2 linked regions of the Bombyx mori genome follow. The protein of the gene in region 2 purifies or fractionates together with the protein of the main gene of each other region. This does not show direct contact. Links are inferred from orthologs where the notes say so. Each region holds a gene or a part of one and is shown on either strand. Other genes may lie near its edges. The genes, in order: retinal rod rhodopsin-sensitive cGMP 3',5'-cyclic phosphodiesterase subunit delta; inositol polyphosphate 5-phosphatase E.

Region 1 (4,385 bases), on a different chromosome or scaffold from region 2:
ATACTATCAAACTTACTTGAGCACATTGGCCGGCATCATTTGCGATTCAGGCGCTGACTCTATAACGGATTGCCAAGTGTTCGTTGAGTTCGGGATCACATAACCAAAATCGAAAAACCACTCTTCTAAACATCTCCCTTTGAAGAGTACTTTCTATAAAAAGAAACATTTAGTTTTTTTTAGTGTTCAAATCAGTTATATATTTTCTATTGCTGTAGGTGTGAGTAGCTCAAAATCCATGTGTTATTAATGAAGTTAGTACCGAATTACCAAATAATAAAATGTTTATCTATGTAAAAATTATATTTTATATCTAATTAGATTGGTAATGTTATATTTAATTGTAAGTGTACTACCAGTTAAATGCAGGATTGGATAGTTTAAATTCTATAATTCTGTGAACATATTAATTCAAGTCAATTAAAATAAACTAGATGAATGAATTATTTTTGAAATAATATGATATAAATATGGAGCAAAGCTTGGATTCAGACAGTTCTAAGTTGTCACATCTGTGGCCAATTATACTGATAGATGCTGATGGTGATGTTATTTTAACAAGCAAACATTTCACACTATACAGTCTAAGCCAGAAATTTCTCCCATGTTCTGGATACCAGAAACATACATATAAGACAGGAAGATGTATACTCAATACTCAGATTCGAATATCAGTTTGATAAATATAATTCCACCTAAATCAAAACTATCATGACACTTTTTCTTATTCTTATTCTTGCCTTTATACAATGATGACCTTTTTTCCATTCAGGTCTATCATACATCATATTTACCCATACACACCCTTTTCACTCATATGGACTTGGAGGGAATGTGTGAAAGGGGTTCACACATTCCCTCCAAGTCTATTTATGACGTCCCCTCCTTTAAGCATCTACTGAACACTAATCAACACTGTCTAGTCTATCTAACCTACAACATACTGTTTTTAGTATTTCTGACTCATCGGCTACATAAATAATGTTAAATGATGCTTGTAGTTGGAAACTAATTCTACTTTAATTGCTTACTATCTTAACACTAGCGACCCGCCCTCGCTTCTCTTCGGAAACATTAAATTTTATTATTGACTGATAGGCCAAGCCAGCCATGTAGCGCGCGGTACGACAATAACTGCGGGAGACGCCGCGGGGCGAAGCTAGTGTAAAAAAAGTTGTCTAAGTTACTCCTTATATCATCAGCTACCTATTAGTGAAAGTCTCATCAAAATTGGTCCAGCCGTTCCAGAGATTAGCCGGAACAAACAGACAGACAAAAAAAAATTATAAAAAATTTTATTTTGGTATATGTACCGTATATATATTCATATGAATGTAGTAAAAAGCTGTTATTTCAATACTACAAACAGACACTCTAATTTTATTTATATGTATAGATGTACCTGTTCTAATCTAAATCTATCCATGGATTCTATTGAGCTGAAGTTCATTTCACGAGACACTACTCTGCACTTGAGAATTCTTTTGGGTACTCTTGCTTCGTGTTCCGCATCTGGACTTGACATGTCCTCATTATGTTGCCAAAGAATTTTTCCTGAAAAAGAATTATTAATAAAATAAATATAAATGTGCAATAGGGGAAAAATTATAACATTGCTGTTACTTAAGTATCTAAAAGTAGTTTGATTTTTATTTAAGAAACTTCATAAAATGAGAAAAAAAAATTGCCACGCTTTGCTCGCCCGCGATATGTTATTACAGTTTTGAGTATTATTATTATGTGTTGAGTATGTATATTTTATACAACAATCATCAGCAGTCTGGTGAAGCTACTTGTAGGATTTTTAAATACTAGAAAACATTTAATAAATCTTGCTCCTGGAGTGGTCTCATAGACATCCCAATGTAAAAACAATTAACCACCTTGGACCCAAGATTAGTCATTTATTTATTTATTTTAATTTTTCATTCACATCAACTATAGCATCATATAACTTTTAATTATATTCTGTTGAGTATATTTAAAAAAACAAACAATGATATACACAATCAGTAACTGACTTGTTTATCTTTGGAAATTGCATATCTAATTTACAGGCAAAACAAATTCTACTACTGATCTTAATTTTAATATATTTCAAACGTTTTTTTTTCAATGACTAGATCTTTACCTGTGTCAGCATCACGAAGATTCATCCAATTACTGACGTTGCAATGTTAAAAAATTATTGACAATTGTTAAGTAAAACACATTGAAATGATGAATCTATTTATTTTTAACGCTGTTTATAATCAATTAGGGATCACATGTTAAATACATCAATTGAGGATGTATTATTTTTACATTTTCAGGTACATTTTCAAACTTTAATTGTGGGACTATTGTGGGAAACAACAGCATAATCGTGGGAAGAAATTCATTCCAAAAGTGATGCACGGTACAAATGCTTAGGTACTGAATTACTATGGAACAGCATTATGTTTGCAGACGATGGGCCTAATAATGCAAAAATACTTTTTAAAAGAATAGGCAGGACTTGGTTTAAAGTCTCTCGACAGTCGGGTAATCATCCAAAAAGCAAAAAAAGGTGCCCTGCTAGACGTAACGCCACGACTTACTCGTCAACTATTCGATTTTAAAGGATCTCAACTCACAATGGCATTAAGGGCAATATAAGAAAAAGAACATATGTAAAGGATACATTTGAAATCCCTTCAGAATAGTCTCCACACGATCATTTTTATCTCGTTCAGTTGTTAGAACGTCAGTCATATTTGCGAAAATAAAAGTTCAATTCCAATTTTATATGATTATGTTTTTGATTGCTGATTTTCTTAACAGCGAACTGAACTGTGTTTATTTTTCTGTCTAACAAAATACTCTAAACAATTAAGTGTTTATTCTATGACTCTAAATTCAATTACGAACACAATATTGTTCACATTCACATTGAAAAATGAAAACCACTTTTTCTGGGGTTTTTTTTGCAAGCTCCATAAATTAAGTCTATGGTCTTTTTTTATGACCTGGTAACATAGACCTTTAGGTTGTTTTTGGCGGGAACGCGAGGAGTGAAGTTGTGTGATTTGTTTTATTTTATCTATTTAGTGTTTCTTCAGGTTTAAATGTGTAATAACGGTGGTTTATTAACTGTTTGATATCTGTGAAAGTTCACAAATGTGGGAAAACGAAACAAAGCCACTGGACATAGCTTCTCGGGATCCTCTATAGAGATTAGTATTATTATTAACTCCATGGGATCCACCAATTAACGTCATCATATGACATATGACATAACATCATATGAATAGAATGTAAATAGAATACAAATAGAATGTAATGAAATAAATGAGTTCAAAATCACTGCGGTCTTAATGGGACAACTTATTTTCCATAGTACGAATATTTTGGTTTTTAGATTATTAATTATTTATTGTAATTAGTGTGGTTTATTTATTGTTTTGATATTTTCTCTGATAATTAAGTAATATCAATGAAGTTACGACTGTCATGTATGTTATTTATATTATCGTAATAAAAACATCATCAAAGACCAAAGTATGGGACATCAACATTGCGGCTGCTATGGTCAATTTTTTTGAGAAATGCTCAGTAACTAATATTTTAATCTGTGAACTACTACAGAGCATTTTCCAGAGTCTCAGACTATAAATTTCAAATTTTAAATTTATTTTACAGTAATTCACAAATGTCGATTCAGTCAAACAGGCTTTTTATATGACAGCTTCAAAACGATCTTGTGCACATCAATATCAAATCGACTAAACCACAAAATCGAATCAACGATTGTGCACTTTCTTTGCCAAAAGATACAGTAGCCAATGGCCGTAACAAAAAAAAGAAAATTTCACAAAAATCTCAATTTGTAATTTTGTACATAGGTACCTACATAAAACACAATAATAGCCAATAGGTAAAATTATATGTTGTACTATGTAAATGTTGTTTGTTTAGTCCAAGAGGTGAACACAAAAAATATTTCTAAAATTTGTACCCTGCTAATGTTTACGTTATCACCGTATTTATGTAACTGGCCGTTTGAAATCACTACAGGATTATTAAGAATTTTCTATGAACCCGAAAAGCGAGTCTGTCGAAGCTTCGAGGTATGTATCTGTTTTATTATTTCACTATATTATTAATATTTAAAAATTCACATCACGTTGACCTTTAAGATTACCAAAATATATCTAAATTTTATTGTATTTGTTTCGTGCAGAAACAAAATGTTGATAGGGGTTATGAAGCATTACTTGCTATTTTAGTACCTTCCTTTAAGCAAAAATAAAGTGTTGTTTGAAAATATATTTGTTACGTTTTGTAATAAATATATGCATTACTATTGTTTATCATTCAGGGGGAGCGAAGCATCATCATCATCGATAAATTCAACCCCTGACATT
Region 2 (4,279 bases):
AACATCTGATTTCGTTGTAATAATTTAAAGATTTACTATTTATAAGTTGCATGACTGGGTACCGATTATATTAGTATTTTAATACAATCAGATGTTACCTTGGCGGTGCTTGCCCATTCATGTTCCATGAGCCAACAAATATCTTGACTTCTCTATCAGGAAAAACATGTTCTAGTTCAGCTGCGCCGAGGAGTGAATGTGAGGCAAGTCTACCATAAAGGTAATTTCTGAAATAAACATTTTCATTTGATCTTTCCATTTTTGTAATTGAAGTACCAATAGATTTTTCTGCATTAAAATAGAATACGACACTAAACACACGATAAAAAAAAAACAGTGTATTATATAAAACTTTTAAAACATGTTCTGTAGAATGTACTACAAGTTTTAATTTAGGATCTCATTTTCGTAGTACGTTATTGTAATTAACTTCAAGGTAACAGTGACTCAGTCCCCATATTGTACTTGGCTGATAAGGTAAAGGCAAAGTAAATAATTAGTTTGATTTATTTATGACTCATTACTTAAATATATTTTTTAATGATTATATGTTATAAAACATTCTCTGAAAAATAGCATAATATAAAAATATCAGATGCCTATAAATTTCATCTGATAATATTATGTATATAGTGTCAATGTATAATATAATAGAAATATATAGTATTTCTAATTGACTTTTTTATTATTATTGGGTGAACGAGTTCATAGCCCACCTGGTGTTAAGTGGTTACCAGAGCTCATAGACATCTGCGATGTTGATGCTGTCATCCACTTTAAGACATGAGTTCTTACAATTACAATAGTTGCACCATCCTTCAAACCAAAACCCATGAATGCTTCACGGTAAAAATAGGCTGGGTAGTGGTATCTAGCCATGCAGAATCACAAGACTACCACTATTATACCCCAATTAACAATCACCATTACAATTCATCTATAACAATTATTTATTAATTGGTTGCTTATGAAAGGAGCTAATGCTTATTTTTTAATACCTTTATTTAAACTTTCTTTATAAAGTAAATTTAAGATTATTTTACATAATTCTAATATGTTTGATAATTTATTGTATAAAGAGTATTGGTAAGTGAGCTTGGCTACTTGTTTTGTATTAGATTTCCTTTCCATCTTCAGGACAGATGGATCAAGTGTCAAAGGTACTCTGGTGGTGGTAAGGTAGCCTAACAAAAATATCACCAGTGGCAGCTGTGAACCTCCACCACCAGATCAGAATAAGAACTCACTGAGGGAATCTAGCTAGAAACATAATTAGCTGATGCTATAAGGCAAGTGTGACAACAAATTTGGCTGAGTTTGGTTTTCTATTATACTACTTCATCCCGAATAGTGGTTTTTTTCCTACATATTCGCTGGTAACCTAAGGAGCAATTTCAGCTGCTCGCAGATGGGTAGGTGAGCTCATGTGCTCAACCTGAAATAATTTGCTTATACTAGCCCTAGCAAGAGTAGTGCTTCGCAGAATCTACCACCAGAACAGAATTGCGACCAACTGAAAAAATGCAGCGAGAAATTCAGTTGATTGTGTCTATGGGTAATAGCTTTCTCTCCTTATTGTTGTATTCTGCGAAATAACATGGCTAAGCATTCTCGACTAGTTATCTTACTTTTTTAATACTCTACTTTTATCTACAGTGAGACTTGAGTAATTATTTTTTAATATACCATTTATTTCAGTAGTTTTGGTAATAATTTATAAAATACTATAGATAATAATATATAATATACTATATAATAATAATACCGTAAGTAGTTTGTATTAAGCATATGATTGTATATGGATGTTTATATCCTACCTTTCACGAGCTTCTTGTGTGGGTATGAGGCGTAGCACCTGTGCAGCAAGCAAAGAGTTACGTGCTAAGCTATCAGTGCTACCCGCACGAGAAGCAGACCGGGTTATTGTTGATTTACTTCTATAAAATGAAGTGGGTATATTATAATTTTTATTCATACACTAAGAAAAACCAATCTTTGTTAATCTTTAATAGATCATTTTTTTTTTAATGATTATAAATTGTTTAATAAAAAATACTACAATATAATAACCTAATAATTACCTTCTTTTACGATCTAGAGAACTACTCCTATCACTCTCGGGAGATGAAGAACGAAATAGTGGTTTGCTTTCAGTAGAAATCAGATGATCAGCTGATAAACGTTTGACAAAGAGTTTATTTTTTGTTTTGATGCCCTCAAATGAACCAGAATGTTCAAAGCTCTTTTTTGAATCATCACTTTTAGGAAATTTGATAGTTGCTTTGGGTATTTCGTCTGATTTCGTTTGAGAAATAGTTTGGTCACTTAAACTATTAATAGAATTCGATACTGGACTGCAACCTCTGGATGTATCTGGACACTGTTCATCTTTGGAATGACCTCCATCTACTAAGCTCTTGGGTCGAGATCTTCTAAAGAAGGTACGGCAGCATTTAGGGTTGATCTCCTCTTCTCTTTGGTTGTGACTGACACCGTGACTACTATTCTGGGAAAGTGGTTCAGCACTAGCATTTCGTTGATTATCTATCGCTTCTACACTGGTTTCGATATGCTGCGCACTTTGAGCTAAAAAAGGATCCGCGGGCGATATGGGCCGAGACGTGGACTGAGAAAATTCATCGTTTGATTCTGTATCAACATAGCAACCGACTCGAGGAGACTTTTTTACGAATAACCGTTTCCGCAAAGACAATTTCTGTTTTGTTCTGGTAGGAGACGTAGTCATTGTTAATTTAGTAAGAGTTTTTATGTTACTTTATGTTATTGATTACATATTTTATCTAAAATTCTTAACCTAGGTATCAAGTTTTTTAACAGACATTTTGGTAGCTATAGCTATTTTTCACTTAATGACAATTTGGACTCTTGGACACTGACAAAAGCGTTTTTCCTAGGTAACGTCATGTCTCTGAATAATCTGTGGGGATATAGTCAACCAACGTTAGCTTGAGTACGAGGTACAGATACTCTAGGACGTAATATTGTGGAAGTACTTAATGACAAGAGCTAATGTAATTTCTGTATTTTATTGAGATATTACAAAAAAATATTCTGATTTGAAGAAAATAAAATGAACATTATTTATTTAAACATGTAACCCGATTAGGATCATTATCACAGAAAAGAACAACACTCTATTCATTTTGATATTTACTCCGCTTCCTGTCCCAGGTACTAATAGATTAATGCCGGTGTATGCAGGATACGGAGACAAATTACCGCCGACTATAGACTGAATTCCATCACCTAAAACATGTGTAGTTCATTTTAGTTCTAATTTGATGACATAATATTCTGAGGACTAGATGTGTAGGACGTGAAGTAATAGCAGTACGTGTAGAATAGATAGATTGTTATATAGTTCATTATTTGTTTCTCTTGTACCTATGTAGTCCATTATTCATAGTTGCTATCTTCTTGTTACACTATAGGTACTGCCCTTTGAGCTCGATATCTATTACCGTCGCTTTGCTGTTTCTGAACTTTGTAGGCTAACATAACCGCCACCACCAACACCGCTTCCAACACAATTGAGCCTTCGGATCACTCCCTTTTAAATAAGTAATGGTATTCACGCTGTCGTGTCTATAGGTTTCAATAACCATTTAAAATTAAGTGGGTCGTTTCATATACTTACACTAATAAAAACAATCTTACAGCATGCTTCAATTATACCATTCCTAAATGTTTATTTTTATTTTTATTTTGTAATATTATAAATAAAAAATAAGCAAATTGTAATAAGTTACCAATGTTGCACAAATCATTTGTGCATGCTCTATAAAAAGTTCGGAATGTTGGATCTGTAACTTCGTGATTTAAAAAATCCGGGAAACTTTCGCAGCCCCGTGTAAAGCTTGCGATCACGCCTATTGGGTCCTAATAACAAAAGAGAAACTTTTTAAAACTTCAAAAATACAGAGCCTTTTTTGCTAACCCAGGAAACATACACAAACGAGGAGGAAGTTACCGGAGTCCTGCCTACTAATTTAGTGTAGAAGGTGGGTCTTATTGGTGTCGAACCAACTAAATCTCGTTTGATCAAGAGCCCGCGTTCGAAATTCGGATGACATTGAACTTAACTAGGACATTTGGGGCCTAAGGTGATTAATTTACCCGGAGCGACTTTCTTTCTTTCACTCTACTTCTCTCGGATGCCAGACCGATGGGCGTCAGTGCCACTGGGCCCCTCGGTTAGCGTTAAATATGAAACACGGCTAGATGGCGCTACATGCATTCTACAGGATAGCTCGCTGGT

What was found.
Region 1: the proteins of inositol polyphosphate 5-phosphatase E (region 2) and retinal rod rhodopsin-sensitive cGMP 3',5'-cyclic phosphodiesterase subunit delta purify together in Homo sapiens (affinity purification with mass spectrometry; 3 studies listed by BioGRID and IntAct, with this or other methods). This does not show direct contact. The link is inferred for Bombyx mori from reciprocal best matches to the Homo sapiens genes INPP5E and PDE6D.

The regions. Positions count from the first base shown.
Region 1 is NC_085119.1:5,232,760-5,237,144, reverse strand, and holds the start of retinal rod rhodopsin-sensitive cGMP 3',5'-cyclic phosphodiesterase subunit delta, read right to left. Parts: upstream 2,808-4,385; 5' UTR 2,734-2,807; coding exon 2,663-2,733; exon of another isoform or gene 2,313-2,662; intron 2,164-2,312; coding exon 2,132-2,163; intron 1,555-2,131; coding exon 1,403-1,554; intron 154-1,402; coding exon 17-153; intron 1-16. Other genes in the region: ubiquitin-protein ligase E3A, read left to right, coding at 4,054-4,088, 4,340-4,385. UniProt on the Homo sapiens protein: Promotes the release of prenylated target proteins from cellular membranes. Modulates the activity of prenylated or palmitoylated Ras family members by regulating their subcellular location.
Region 2 is NC_085123.1:6,741,324-6,745,602, reverse strand, and holds the start of inositol polyphosphate 5-phosphatase E, read right to left. Parts: upstream 2,904-4,279; 5' UTR 2,747-2,903; coding exon 2,082-2,746; intron 1,938-2,081; coding exon 1,818-1,937; intron 228-1,817; coding exon 99-227; intron 1-98. Other genes in the region: uncharacterized protein LOC101746422, read right to left, coding at 3,107-3,267, 3,771-3,900. UniProt on the Homo sapiens protein: Phosphatidylinositol (PtdIns) phosphatase that specifically hydrolyzes the 5-phosphate of phosphatidylinositol-3,4,5-trisphosphate (PtdIns(3,4,5)P3), phosphatidylinositol 4,5-bisphosphate (PtdIns(4,5)P2) and phosphatidylinositol 3,5-bisphosphate (PtdIns(3,5)P2).